Linked DNA regions of Canis lupus familiaris. The protein of the gene in region 1 purifies or fractionates together with the protein of each later gene. This does not show direct contact. Links are inferred from orthologs where the notes say so. Each region holds a gene or a part of one and is shown in the gene's direction. Other genes may lie near its edges.

Evidence for each region. Proteins that work in one complex are often made in the same cells at the same time.
Region 2: the proteins of SLC30A4 (region 1) and FUT8 purify together in Homo sapiens (co-immunoprecipitation; 3 studies listed by BioGRID and IntAct, with this or other methods). This does not show direct contact. The link is inferred for Canis lupus familiaris from reciprocal best matches to the Homo sapiens genes SLC30A4 and FUT8.
Region 3: the proteins of SLC30A4 (region 1) and METTL9 purify together in Homo sapiens (co-immunoprecipitation; 3 studies listed by BioGRID and IntAct, with this or other methods). This does not show direct contact. The link is inferred for Canis lupus familiaris from reciprocal best matches to the Homo sapiens genes SLC30A4 and METTL9.

Annotation. Positions count from the first base shown.
Region 1 is NC_049251.1:12,123,086-12,128,012, reverse strand, and holds part of SLC30A4 (zinc transporter 4), read left to right. Parts: intron 1-3,535; coding exon 3,536-3,689; intron 3,690-4,927. UniProt on the Homo sapiens protein: Probable proton-coupled zinc ion antiporter mediating zinc import from cytoplasm potentially into the endocytic compartment. Controls zinc deposition in milk.
Region 2 is NC_049229.1:40,144,164-40,149,090, forward strand, and holds part of FUT8 (alpha-(1,6)-fucosyltransferase), read left to right. Parts: intron 1-2,189; coding exon 2,190-2,305; intron 2,306-2,419; coding exon 2,420-2,582; intron 2,583-4,927. UniProt on the Homo sapiens protein: Catalyzes the addition of fucose in alpha 1-6 linkage to the first GlcNAc residue, next to the peptide chains in N-glycans.
Region 3 is NC_049227.1:23,421,081-23,426,007, reverse strand, and holds the end of METTL9 (methyltransferase-like protein 9), read left to right. Parts: intron 1-1,533; coding exon of another isoform or gene 1,534-1,639; exon of another isoform or gene 1,640-1,690; intron 1,691-3,598; coding exon 3,599-3,804; 3' UTR 3,805-4,300; downstream 4,301-4,927. Other genes in the region: IGSF6 (immunoglobulin superfamily member 6), read right to left, coding at 1,534-1,639. UniProt on the Homo sapiens protein: Protein-histidine N-methyltransferase that specifically catalyzes 1-methylhistidine (pros-methylhistidine) methylation of target proteins.

The DNA of each region.
Region 1 (4,927 bases):
ACATACTTGCAGGATGCTCAATATGTGTGAAATATTGCATGGGACATATTTATCCTAAAAAATTATTTATTGTTTATCTGAAATACAAATTTAACTAGACATCCATTTAATCTGGCATACCTACTAAGGTAACTTATCATTTGCCATCCAAACCAGGAGACTTTTGAGAGTGAAGAGTGCAGTGGCGCACTTTTAATGATTATGCCAGGACAACAGACATAAATTGGGGCTATCCCAGAAAACTGTAAAGTATTGTCAACTTAATTATAGGGAATTTTGAGATAATTTTTAATTATTGGTTTAAGATTTTCATAAGTAATCACAGCTGTATGTCATTAACTTAAATAGCTATGAATTTTTGTAAATAAAGCGTATTGCCTTATAATTTTATATTAACAATTTGATTAAGTCATCTTAAAAACTATGTGGCCTAATTCATAGCTTCAACCTTGACACATTAAAGTTCTCTTTTTGGGGTGGGGAAAGAGTTTTAAGAAGAATTGGTTTTTGTTTTGTTCTGTTTTTTACCTAAAAAAATTTACTGGGAGTAGTCCCAGTGTAGGGCTCAAACTCATAACCCCAAGATCAAGAGTCTCATTGTCTACTGTCTGAGCCAGCCAGGTCCCCCAGTATTTATTAAATACCAACTTTAGAGAAAGTTTTCTTATTTTGTGAGTAAAATGAAGCTACCACTAGTATATTAAATTTACAGTTAAAAAAATCTTTTTTTAATAATAAATTTATTTTTTATTGGTGTTCAATTTGCCAACATACAAAATAACACCCAGTGCTCATCCCGTCAAGTGTCCCCCTAAGTGCCCGCGACTCAGTCACCCCCACCCCCCCGCCCTCCTCCCCTTCCTTTTAAAATTTATTCATTCATTCATTCATTCATTTTACAGAGAGAGAAAGAGAGCACAAGCAGGGGAAGCAGAGTCCCTGTTGAGTGGAGAGCCCAGTGACCTAGGGCTTGATCCTAGGACCTTGGGATCATGACCTGAACTGAAGGCAGACACTTAACTGACTGAGCCACCTAGGCACAAATATTTTAGCTCCTTTTTTTTTTTTTTTTTTTTTTAATGTGTATGTACTTTACCATTAGCAAGTATAACTTAAGATGAGAAATTCCGTGCATCATCTTCTGTCTGGTATTTGACTTAATTCTTCTAACCAATTTACTTCTTGTTTTGGGGGATTTAGGAAAGCCTGTCCTTCTTACTTAATTGTATAGCCTTTTATCATCTCCCCTTGCTCAGCCTAACCTCATTCAGCAAATGCATCCATAAATATTTGCTATGTGACAACCACTCTGTTGAGTGCTATAGTAAATGTGACATGGAATGGAACTGGTCCTATCCTCAGGCTGCTGAGAGTCTGCCCTCAATGTGGAAGTGTCTCCACAGCTTTGTATATTTCAGAGTCTTTCTCAGTCTTCTTCAGCCCCATGTGTTTTTTGAAGTATGATTATGAGTATGTCAGAAATAGGCATACCATGGTTTTGAATAGGAACTATTTGTTGTCTTACTCCATCATTTGTTCTGCTAATGCACAGGATTTTTTTTTTTTAAGATTTTTGTTTATTCATTAATGAGAGAGAGAGAGGCAGAGACACAGACAGAGGGACAAGCAGGCTCCCTGCAGGGAGCCTGATTTGGGACTTGATCCCAGGACCCTGGGATCACAACCTGAACCAAAGGAAGATGCTCAACCACTGAGCCACCCAGGTATCCTTAAATGCAGCGTTTTCGCAACATTGATGAGATATGTTCAGGAAACAGCTTATAACTGCTAGATAACTTTTCTGTGTTGTAATTTATGCATCAGAATAAAATTGTATCAAAGTTCAATATATTTGAGCTGCCTGGAACCTTTTAGCAATGACTTGATTCAGATAACAGTCTCCCAAGTTGTTTTACCTTTAATAAGATTAATGTCTGGTTTGTCTAAAGGAAAAATTTTCTTTAAAAGTATTTTTTTGCTTTTATTGTTTTGACTGTCAACAATTGCTTTATATTATAATCCTAGTTAATTATTTAAAAATGTACTTCCCATTGCCCTATTGTGTTATCTTGAAAAGGTAAAAAATTATCTCTACTGTGTACTTACATGGTAGAAGTTTATATGATACAAAAGCATATATGGTGCAGTTGTCCTTGTCTCCTAGCTACCTATTTTCCTCATAACCAGTTTTTTTCATCAGTATTTTGTATGTCCTTTCAGAGATTGGATGTACAGATATTATTTATATATTCTCTTTTTTCACAAGTAGTAACATACCATACGCACTTTGCTTTTTTCGTGTAACACTATATCTTGGAGATTACTCCTTATTAGAACATAAAAAGCTATATTCTTTTTTAACAGCTGCATAGTATTCCATGTTATAGGGCCTTATAATCACTTTTATTGTTTTCAGTTGTTTGCTGTTATATACTGTGCTTGACGAATAGCTTCATAATATACCTCATTTTGCACATGTGATGAATGTGTATATCACTCTAAGAAGAAGAATTTCTGTGTCAAAGTACATTCATGAATATTTGCATGCCTTATTGTTTGTCTTTAGTCTAAAGATAGTATGTGTCTGTGGTAAAACTTAAAACATTTCAAACATTACAGAAAAGAATAAAATGAAAACTAAGTTTGCTAAGCTCCTAGTCGCCACTTCCTTGTGATTATCAATTTGCCTGATTTTTGTTTTTCCTTTTCCCTTTTTTAAAAAAAATATAAATGGCTTAATGATACTCCACTATCTGGATAAATCACACTTTATCCATTAATTTCCTTATTGGTGAACATTTACGATATCTCCAGATATTTTTTGATACTAGTGAAGTTACAATGAAAAACCTTGTAGGTATATCTTTACATATATATCACGTGTTTTATTGAATAGATTCCTAGAATCAAGGAATACATGCATCTTAAATTTCGATTTGTTTTACTAACTGCTGTCCAAAAAGATAGTTCCACTTGATACTTCCACCAGTATATCCTTGCTAACTCTGGCTGTCATCAAGCTTTTTAATATTTACCAGTTTAGTAAGGGACAAAAACCAATCATATTCTTTTTTGAATTTCTTGTATTTAGGATTGATTTTGATAAATTGGTTATTTCTGTTAATTTTCTGTATATTAGTATTTGTGTCCTTTACCCATTTTTGGTATCGGTTCTTCACTTTGTTATTGATTTATAAGTGTACTCTTCTACTGGGAAATTAGTCTGTGGCCATGTATGTTACAAATAATTATTTTTTCAGTTTTTCATTTTTTATCATATGTATGGTCTGTTAAATATACACGGTTTGACCCTAAAGAGATGAGGGAAAAGTGGGGATTGGTAAGAATGAATTAGTGGAGAATCCAGAGCAAACTACCATACACTTTTTACATAAGGAAAGTAACATGACAAATGATACAGGGTTTTTATCTCTTTAGAGGAAAGATATAAATAAAAGAGTGTACAATATTTAGTTTGTATGAAGTGTAATAACCATACTACAGATGTATATGTTCTTTATATTTTTCCCTCCAGAGGTTTTATCAGCTATGATTAGTGTGCTATTGGTGTATATACTTATGGGATTCCTCCTATATGAAGCTGTCCAAAGAACTATCCATATGAAATATGAAATAAATGGAGATATAATGCTCATCACTGCAGCAGTTGGAGTTGCTGTTAATGTAATGTAAGCTCTATTTTTTAAAAAAAAATTAATAGCTTTATTTTTTAGAACAGTTTAGGTTCACAGCAAAATTGAGCAGAAAGTGCAGATTTCCCGTACACCCCTGCCTTCACACATGCATAGATAGCTTCCCCCATTATAAACATCCTCCATCACAGTGATACCTTTGTTACAGTTGATAAACCAGCATTAACACATTACCACACACCATCCTTAGTTTACATTCGGGTTCATTCTCTTATTGTTGTATAGTCTATGGGTTTGGACAATTTTGTAATGATATGTATATACCATTATGGTATCATATACTCTATATTGTTTTCACATTAATATTTTTAAGTACTGTGAACTTAGAGACTATTTACATGCATTTGGTAACGTTCAGTGGTATTTTTATGTATTTTAAAATTATATAGTACATTAATTTTTCTTAATAAAACACTGATGGAATTATAAATTTCTCATTAGTTTGCTCAGTTATACTGAAGTTTGACTAACAACTTGGAATTTAAGTGGGACAAAGTTTTTAACTTTTACTTATATATAAATAAGATTTTTTTTTAACTATAAACTTTTTCCCTAAAAGCTATGAAATTTTTAGGTTATATGATTATTTGGACCAGCAGTCAGCAAACTTTTAATGTAAAGGGCCAGATAGTAACTACTGTAGACTTTGAGACTCATGCAGTCTCTTTTCCAGCTAGTCAGTTCTGCTGTTATAGAACAAAAGCAGCCACATTTAGTATGTAAATAAATGAGCACATCTGTGTCCCAATAAAACTTGGGCCTGTTTGCCAATCCCTTTCCTATTGGCTTCCATTCCTACTTAAAATAAAATAAATAAAAATCAAAGTCCTTAATTTGTTAATAAGATACTGTGTACCTCTCTAACTCACCCTAGCATTCTTGCTCACTTTAGTCTAGCCGCAATGGCTGTCTTGCTTTTTTGAAACACACAGAGCACATTTTCATCTAAGGGCCTTTGCCCTGGTATTCCTTCTGCCTAGAACACCCTTTCACCACCACATGCTTCCTGATTTGATTCAAGTCTCTGCTCAGATAGAATCTCAGGCTTTCTCTGACTGACCGCACTCCCCAGCACTCTCCATCCCCTCTCGATACTTTACTTTTCTTCAAAACATTTGCATTGTCTGGCAGTATATTATGTATTTATTTGTTTACTTCTCTGCCTTCTCTTCTAGAACATAAGCTCTGTGGGGATAGGGATATGTCTGTTTTAT
Region 2 (4,927 bases), on another chromosome or scaffold:
GCCAGAAGATATCCTATATATCTTTTGCATAGTTAGTATGGTGCAAAACAAAATCAAATCCTAAATATTCAGATAATGTCCTTGCAGATTGACTCTTTTCTGGAATGGTTTTGGTAAGAATAGTCCTTATTGTGTACTTTTTTTTTTTTTTTACACTGGCTTCTCTATTACTTTTATCTGTAGTTTATCCACAGTTGGATTAGATTATTATATATAATAATGTAATATAAATTACTAATTCATGTATGTTTTATTAAAATTAGATTGGATTTAGTACTTCATGGAAATCTACTGAAATGATTTAATGCTGTTTTTTCTTGCCTTTTTTACACTAATTTTTTTCCATCAATATAAGAGGAAATGAGATGAAGAAGAGAACCTAGACATATTTTTTTTGTGTTGTCTGGAATTTTCTGTCATTAAGGTATGTTCTGGAAAAGGACATGCTTGTCCTATGGCATATTGCTCTCAAAAATAAATTCTAAGAGGTAGTAGTTTTAGTCTCTTATCAAATTATTTCCTAGAAATCAGCCATCTACTTCAGAAAGAGATTAAAAGCCAAATTTTAAAAACTGTATACCAGGAAATGCCTCATTTATGAATGTATGCACATTTGAGCTTATAAATTGGGTAATTGTGCACCTAACAACTCTGTTTATTTTATCATTATTCACTCTATGTATACAAATTAAGGCTTTGTAATTCAAATTTTGTAGCCTGGGATACTCATGATTAGAGAATGGTTATTTTTCATGCTGCTGTTCAGTGTTAATGCATACAATTACAGAATACCTCATTTACTCTGGTAGATTTGTACCAAGAGCTACTTTACTAAGCCTTTATTCTGAAGTGGTATAGGTAAGTAATAGTTAATTTGGCTGTTATATAAAAAAATATTCAAAAAGGTATAAAAAATCTGTATTGCAGTCTTTGCATCAAAGGACTGAGTTGACATCTGGATTTAAGTTCTGCCAAGTATATTTTAAAAATTAAGTTCCCTTAAAATGATTGTGATAAGAATAGATAACCCAGATATTTTGCAATTATAGCTCATCTCTGAAATGCCTGAGCCCAGATACAATGGTCCTGATAGTTTATTGCCAAACATTGTGCTAAATACTTCCATAGATTTTGGAAGAAAATCAGCCATTATTTAATCTTGACAGTAATTATGCAAATATATACATAGATGTATGGATGTAAGTATTATGTGAACGTGTGTTAGTTTTCTATTGCTGCCGTAATAGTTACTACAAACTTTGTGGCTCAAAACAATAGAAATTTATTCTCTTACAGTTTGGGGGGGCAGAAGTCTGACATGAGTTTTACTGGGCCAAAACCAAAGTGTCAGCAGGGCCACATTCCTCTGGGAAACTCTAGAGGAGAATCTGTTTCCTTGCTTTTCCCAGCTTCTAAGGATGCATTCCTTGTATTTGTTGCTTATGACCCCGTCCTCCCATCTTTAAAGCTAATAGCTACACCATCTTCTCTTCTTTTGTAGTAAAACCTTCCTCTGCCTCCCTCTTATAGGAACATTTGTGATTACAATTAAGGCCCACCTACATAATCCAAGACTGTTCATTTTTTTTCCAATATGCTCATCTTCTACTCTTGTCTTTCCTTTCTATAAAACCAGTACTTAAAAAAAAATAAAGTAAAATAAAAAAATAAAATAAAACCAGTACTTAGCAATCTAAGGTCATGAGTTTATGAATTGAAGCACCAATTTACATAACTTGATATTGTGATGAATTCAGAAATAATTTGTATTTGCTATTTGAACACCCGCACATGTTTAGATTCATACCTTCTTATTTCCCTTAAGCCTTTTTGTCACCTTCTCTTTCACCTTTGTTGCTCTTGACACTAATGGAGAATTGACCACTATGCCACGGGTGGTGTTTTTCTAAGTGATATGATGAGAGTTTTTAGGACACAATCCTAAAGGCTCCTGTATTCCTAGAAGGTCATAGATATCTGAGCTAGATTATTTTTTTCTGGTTTTGTTCAGTATCATTCCATTGTTTATGCTTTATCCTATACCTTTGGAGAGAAAATTTTATTTTGTACTTCTAATATATGATTTATGACTTCTAGAGTTACCAATAAATATATTGTAGCAAAGTAAGCATTAATTTTATTGTATAATTTATAAGCGAAATGTTTACATTTTCTTTTTTGAATTACAGGATACCAGAAGGTCCCATCGACCAGGCGCCAGCTTCAGGAAGGGTTCGTGCTTTAGAAGAACAGCTTTTGAAGGCCAAAGAACAGATTGAAAATTATAAGAAACAAACTAGAAATGGTAGGTGATTATGTAATCTTTTTCTTCTTTAATATGTTGATATTACCACAAATAATTAAAATTTTCTTTCATCAAAATATGAAAATGTTAATACTATTTATTCTTTGACTGCAGGTCTGGGGAAGGATCATGAAATCCTAAGGAGGAGGATTGAAAATGGAGCTAAAGAGCTCTGGTTTTTTCTACAAAGTGAATTAAAGAAATTAAAGAATTTAGAAGGAAATGTACTCCAAAGACATGCAGATGAATTTCTGTCAGATTTGGGACATCATGAAAGGTGCTATTCTTTTTTTACATTTCATTGGGGCTTTGGTAAAGATTATACTCTAAGAATATAAACTGGAATTTTTGTTAATTTCCCTATTGAATGGTAAGTGATACCTACCATATTTAGAAGAAGAGTACCTAAGATTTTAAGGACAATAATTCCCAAGTGTAGTTCATCAACTAAAATATATCACTGGAAAATATTATTTAAAATGTATTTTTAGAAATCTTTATAACCCTAAGTGAACTCTGAAGGTGTCAGCCAGTAATGCATTAAAATATCTTCCTATAAATTTCCTTCATATACAATCAATAATTGGAGTATGCAGTTTTACATTATAGTACATTGGAACTCATACTGAGGCTGGCAGTTATGTTTCTAATTCACACGTTAAAGACTTTAAAATAACACCTTTTTAGGATCTCTAATTAAAGGTTGCACATGTTTTTAATAAATGGCTACATTTCTTTTAATTCTTTTCTACTTAGTTGCTTTAGAAAGAAGAACCTGAGATCTCCCTAGTTAAATTTATTTCTCCTGTTTACATATTCCTGAAAATATGCAGTTTATCTTCCATAGAAAAGAAAACATTTTGGTACTGGAGTATTCATGTGGAACACAGTGTATCTGAGAATCATTATAAATACAGTGAAACCTGTCCTTAGGCCTGTTATATATACAAGTCTATATTCCCAGTAGGATTCTGATGGCAATTACTGTCTCATTAGTGAACAGTAAAAGAAAAATTGTTGTATTAACACAATCTACCACTGGGAAGAAGAAAAGAATTACCCCACAACCAAGAGATTTATATATATTAACAGCATCCCCAATATTGTACAGATTTGAAATACTGTTTTGCTATTTTAAGTGAAATTACAAATAAAATCCATCAGTTTATTGGAATCATTTTAGCATTAATCTACAGAAGTAAGCATTAATCTCAAGGGGCATTCAGCAGTCCCTTTTAAAATTTTAGCCATATTTAGACCATTAGACCAATTGCTGATTAATTCCATCCTTATTGCTTCTCTACCCTAAAGCTGATTCTGAGCATCATGATTCTGCTAATTGGAGCTGTATGCTTGTATGCTTTGCTTAATGCAGTTTTATAGGATAATGCAGATCTGAAGAGGATTTGAGTTGGGTAGACTATGTGGTATTTAAAGGACAATTTTGGCTATTGAATTCTTTGTGTTTAAAGTTTGAGTGATTAAATTACTTGAAAATTTAATCTTCAGGTCTTTTCTAAATTAAAATTATTATTTAAAGAATTATTTTGTGCATGTATTTTGTGACTGTATATAGAAATAGAAAAATATGTGCAAATATACAAATGAAAAAAGTGTGGAGCCCTAAAGTTGATGTAAATCATTGTTAAATTTTTTGTAAGTTGAATTTTGTTTTAAATATATTATGATTCCTGACACTACCTTTTAGTATATGTTAAATAATAATATTTCACTGAAAAGAAAATGGAAAGGTACCCCAGTCAGTTTCTTTTGTTATCTTAGGCAGAAATTCTAAGGAACTTGGGATGCAACTTCACTGGGTAGTAATTTCACTTCAGGTAGCTGTATTAGAATGCAATGATAAAATAATGAGCAAAGCACAGCCAGACATTGGAGAAATAACCCTAAAGTTATGAATGTATAATTAGAGAGAATTTGTATGTATGCAGAATATGCCATCTTATAATTTTCAAGATTTTTAAGTGTAAGAATTAAAACAGACTTTTGTGTTTGCCTCTGGTGATTTTTACATTGCACAAAAATTCCCATTTCACTTTTTCATTTCCCCAAATGTAGTGTATAGGTTGTCTCTGGACTAAAAGTTTGTGTTCTCTAAGAAATCAGAGGGTGCGTCGATTAGTGTTTTTGTTCAGCTTTCCCTATGATCACTGTTGTCATCTTTTGGTTCAGAAAGACATCAGTTGGGTGCGTGGATGGCTCAGTCGGTTGGGCATCTGCCTTCGGCTCAGGTCATGATCTCAGGGTTCTGGGATCCAGCCCTGGTGTCAGTGTTGGGCTCCCTACTCAGTCCCCTCTTCCTCTGCCATTGCCCTCTTATGCTCCATCTCACTCTCTGTCTCTCTCTCACTCTCTCAAATAAATAAATAAAATCCTTTTAAAAAATTTAAAAAAAGAAAGACATCAATTATAGGAACAAATTTAGAGGCTTTTGTTTCTTCAAAAGGGTTTTTTTCTTTCTTAGAACTTTGTTCTGATAGAAACATTGATCTTTTTCCTAAGTCAGTTTTATTGTGACATAATTTATATACTATAAAACATATGTATTTTAGTCTGTAGTTCTATGAGTTTTCACAAATGCTTGCAGTTTTGTTACCAACACCA
Region 3 (4,927 bases), on another chromosome or scaffold:
CTCTGAAAAGGTTGAAAGTTTATCTTTTTGGTGGAGGAAATAACAAAAAAGATGACTTTAGGGGTGCCTGAGTGGCTCAATGGATTAAGCACCCGACTCTTGATTTGCTTTATCCCTCAGCACCTCCTGCTCCAAAATCACTTTACTGTGATCCAAGCTAGATCCAAGCTGGATAAATAGAAAACTGATTTTTGACACTTTTCTTGGAGAATTTCAAGCATACACAGAAGTATGGGTAGCTTGGTGAACTCCCTGCTGCTCCATGTCCCAGTCTTGTCTCTCCTCTCCCCCCATCTGTGAAGCATTCCCACATGATTTTAGGGTAAATCTCAGATATTCTCTTTTCACATCTGTCAGACTATATCTTTAAAAGATAAGGATTCTTCTTTAAAATAATACTAATGAAAATAGTTTATGAAAGTCATATAAACAGATGAGAAAAAAAAATCAGAATATTACTGAATTCACCCATGGTCCTCGTGCCCAAATAACCATTGTTAACATTTTGATATATTTCTTTGCAGATGAGAAAAAAATTATTTTAAGACCTTTTTCTACCTTCCCTGTCCTATGACCCAGACTTTGTGAACAAGTTTGAGATTATTAGCTTTATTACAGCTATGATGAGATAGATTATTAGAACCACTTTCTTTTTCTTTATTTTTTAAAATAATTTTCATTTCTTTATTCATGAGAGACAGAGAGAGAGGCAGAGACACAGGCAGAGAGAGAAGCAGGCTCCTCACAGGGAGCCTGACGCAGGACTTGATCCCCGGATCGGGATCACACCCAGAGCCAAAGGCAGATGCTCAACCACTGAGCCACCCAGGAATCCCCCCACTTTCTTTTTCATAGAGAAAAAAAATCAATATAAGCAGAATTTTAAAAGTATATCTATTATGGGATGGTTATGCTCTATAGAAGGAGCCATGGCAGCATTTCTTTTTTAATGACAAGTACTTTTTAATTTACAGAAATCTGGATTTTCAGAAACCTTGTTCTTTGAAAATATTCAGCAAGTATTGCATAGTGCCTATCAAGTGCAGTGTGAGTTTGCCTATATGGAAACGACATTGTTGATGACTAGCACATGCAATTTTAAGAACATTTTCAACCCTTTGTTTGGTGAGGTCCTCTTCTCTAAAGCAGCAAAGGGAATTTTCAAGGTTAATCTGAAACTTTTGGGCAGCCTGGGTGGCTCAGCGGTTTAGTGCCGCCTTCAGCCCAGGGTCTGATCCTGGAGACCCGGGATCGAGTCCCACATTGGGCTCCCTGCATGGCGCCTGCTTCTCTCTCTGCCTGTGTCTCTGCCTCTCTCTCTGTGTCTCTCATGAATAAATAAATGAAATCTTTTAAAAAAATCTGAAACTTTTTTTCAGCTATTCTTTTATTACTTATTTGTCTGGGGGAAGAAGACCATTTCTATAGTGTTAGACATTTCAAAATTAATCTGTAGGGGCTTAAAATATAAATGTATTAGGTGAGGAATAGCAATTGATTAGATAAAATGGAAGAGAAAAGAAAGAACCTTACCGACATAAAAGAGAATCAGATTGATTTCCAGGCCAAGAACGATCCTGCTTCCCTTCACAGTCTCCATTTCTTGGGGTGTGCGTGTGCGGTGGTGGGCAGTATGCATTTGAAGAGAGTGAGCTCTTTTTTTTCTGTCTCTTTAGAAAAGAAGAACTGAAGAGAGGAACTCTTATTAAGGAACCATAACCGGGAACTTTTTGAAATTGTGTAAAAGATTGTTTGTAACCCAGTTTCACCATTTAGAGTTGAGATTTTAGTATAGGGTACATTTCTAAATGTGCATATGGTAAATTGTTTCTTGAATTTGTAGACATTTTGAGGGAGATTTTGATTTACATGTAGTCTTTATTCCCAGGAGAGAGTATTGTTTGACAGATAAATTGTTCCTTTAAATTTCCAGAGTATTTTGGTCACTGATCCTGGGGTACCTACTGTGTGCTCAGTGCTGGGCCAGTCACACTGGAAGCAGAAGGAAGTGTTTTCATGTAGAGAGAAGAGAAAAATTAATGAACAATACATCGTGGTATAATGAAGAAATGCTATGTGACATTAACTAGCTGTACCTCAGATTTGTGTAACCCCTTTCTAATGTGTCTTTGAGACCAAGAGTGGGCCCTCTGTTGAAGTTCCCTCCTCCTCCCTCTCCTGCCCCACGGAGGCCTCATCAGTCGGGTTCTTCCTTGGAAGCAGCAGAAACAGACTCTGGCTGATTTCAGTGAAAGGAAATTGATTGAAAGGATTCAAGGGTAGCTCACACAGTCATGGGAGGATTGGAGAATCATGCGTAGGGTCTAGAGCCAAGAAAAACACCTCAGAAAAACATGCTGTAAAACTGATCTGAAAAGTGTACTCCTGCTGCCGAGCACTAGGGACCATGGCACAGACTGCACTCTATTGTTCATAACACTTGATGCTGCCCCAGCTGCTTAGTGTCATGGCCACTGCTCTGCCCTCCCAGAGAAGGAGCCTACGTCCCTCTTGTCTGGGTCACTAGGTCTTCAGTCTGTGTCCCAGGCGAGTGTTCTGAACTTAAGTCATGTGCCGGTGCCTTCACCATAGGAATAGAGGGGAAAGCTACTTCCCCAGGCTTTGACTGCCATAGGACTCTAGGAAGAGGGTTCAGGTGCCGGGTGTCTTTGTACTCTTGGCACATATCATGCATTTTCTCACAGAAAGTTACTCTCTGTCTGAATTTAGTAATATACTTAATATGTGTGCATTTTAAAAAACATCACAGTATATACAAACAACCTAGAATTGACATATACCATCATCTGTGTGTGTCTGTGTGTCTGTAGCCAATGCTTGGTGTGAACCTGAAGACTTTATCCAGCCACCCCATCCCCACTCCTTAAGCATCTGAATGCTCTCCTAGGCTTGCAAATGACCGGGACAGATTTCAGCCACTAGTCCAAGAAATGCCAGGCCGACACATCCGTTCTAGTGCGCGCTCTCTCTCTCTCTCTTTGGTTTTGGAGCTTAACTTGTATAAAAGTGTTATGAAAAGTTAGGGAGTAGCTCAACTTCACTTGAAAAACACATCGATGATCTGTCGTTATAAATTAAAAGCCTCATTAGTCTGTTTTCGGCCTGATAAATCTTTCTAGTTAATACATTGCATACATTTACTATATCTCGGGTGTATTTTCTTGCATTTATCCCTAACCTTTCTTTCACATTTTATGGGTAACTCTCTGCTTTCATATTCCTGTGTTTAATGAGGAGTTCACTAAAACCATGAACTATTACAACCCATTTGGTCTAATGAAGGGTAATATCTGAAACTGTCAAAGATGGTAAAACTATAAGTTTTGGATCCAGACAAACCTGGGAATGCATTTCTGCTCTTACCCTCACTAACCTTGTAGGCTTGGGTGAATCCTCAGCCCTCTGGGTCCATACTTCATTTCTGTCCTCTTACCTCGGGGATATGAGGAAGATGATTCATCAAAGTCCCCGGTGCTTGGCACATACCAAGTCCTTGGCAAATGTTGTTCTTCCTCCCTTCTCTCTTTAAGTAACTTGTTTGTTCAAGAATTTAACTTAATGTTTCTATTTGTTTTAGTAGGTGGCAAGTGGGAGAAACCATCAGAAATTTTAGAAATCAAGGGACAGAATTGGGAAGAACAAGTGAATAGTCTGCCTGAAGTTTTCAGAAAAGCTGGTTTTGTTATTGAAGCTTTCACCAGACTACCATACCTGTGTGAAGGTGACATGTATAATGACTACTACGTTCTGGATGATGCTGTCTTTGTTCTCAAACCAGTATAGACACGTGGAGGCCCAAGTCTTCAGAGCCCACCCCAAGAATGTACACTCCAGAAGAGGGTCTGCGTTTGCGGTTATGTGAAGGGAGGACCTTTGGGGACTGCCATTCTAAATATCATGTAGGAATTTAAAAAGCCAAAATACTAATTATTTCTTTGTAGTGTGTAAAAGGAATGTTTTTAAAAAACAAAACCCAACTCTTTGAGGATTTTTATCAACTCTTTACTCAGTAATACAGGTCACACTCCAAGTATGGAAGATATTTTTTATACTTAATTGCAGTAGGGACTCATCCCCAGTCAAAGCAATAGTCACGACTTCACATGGAACCAATAAATATGGATTGTTTTTAATAAAATGAAGACTGGCAATAAAGCTGTCCATTCAGTTGCAAATATTTGGTTACAAGGTATAGCCACTGATACTCTTTCATGTTTAGAAATTCTGTCATTATTCAAAAAATGTTTTTAATCATGCTAATAAACTTTTTTGGAGATGACTCTGGCATCATGTTTGAGTTAATATAAGGCTCCCCTAGGATCTTTTATTGCTTTGGCTTCAAGAGTGCCCACATAGTAGCATTAGGTGAAAAGTACAGTTGACTATGTGATAAAGGCTTCCGACTGGGTGAGGGGCTGGGGGATTATTGAAATTGTGGTGAACACTGAGGCAGTCTAGACTAACCCTTGAAAGAGCAACCTCATTCAGATCTAATACTTCAGGGACCATCTCCCACTCCCATTTTATGTTGCTTTGGGAAGTGCAAAACACTGGCTTCTGACTTTGTGATAGCTTCCACACTAGACTCAGAATTCTGTTTTTCTGGACAATCTCAGGTTCTCATAATTTTTTTTTATTCTTTTTTTTATTTATGATAGTCACACACACACACACACACACACAGAGGCAGAGACACAGGCAGAGGGAGAAGCAGGCTCCATGCACCGGGAGCCCGGCGTGGGATTCGATCCCGTGTCTCCAGGATCGCGCCCTGGGCCAAAGGCAGGCGCTAAACCGCTGCGCCACCCAGGGATCCCTCAGGTTCTCATAATTGAACCATTCCGTTGTGTCTGCTGATAAAACGCAGCCTAAAAATGTTTTAATTCCCCTTCTTACTCTACACATG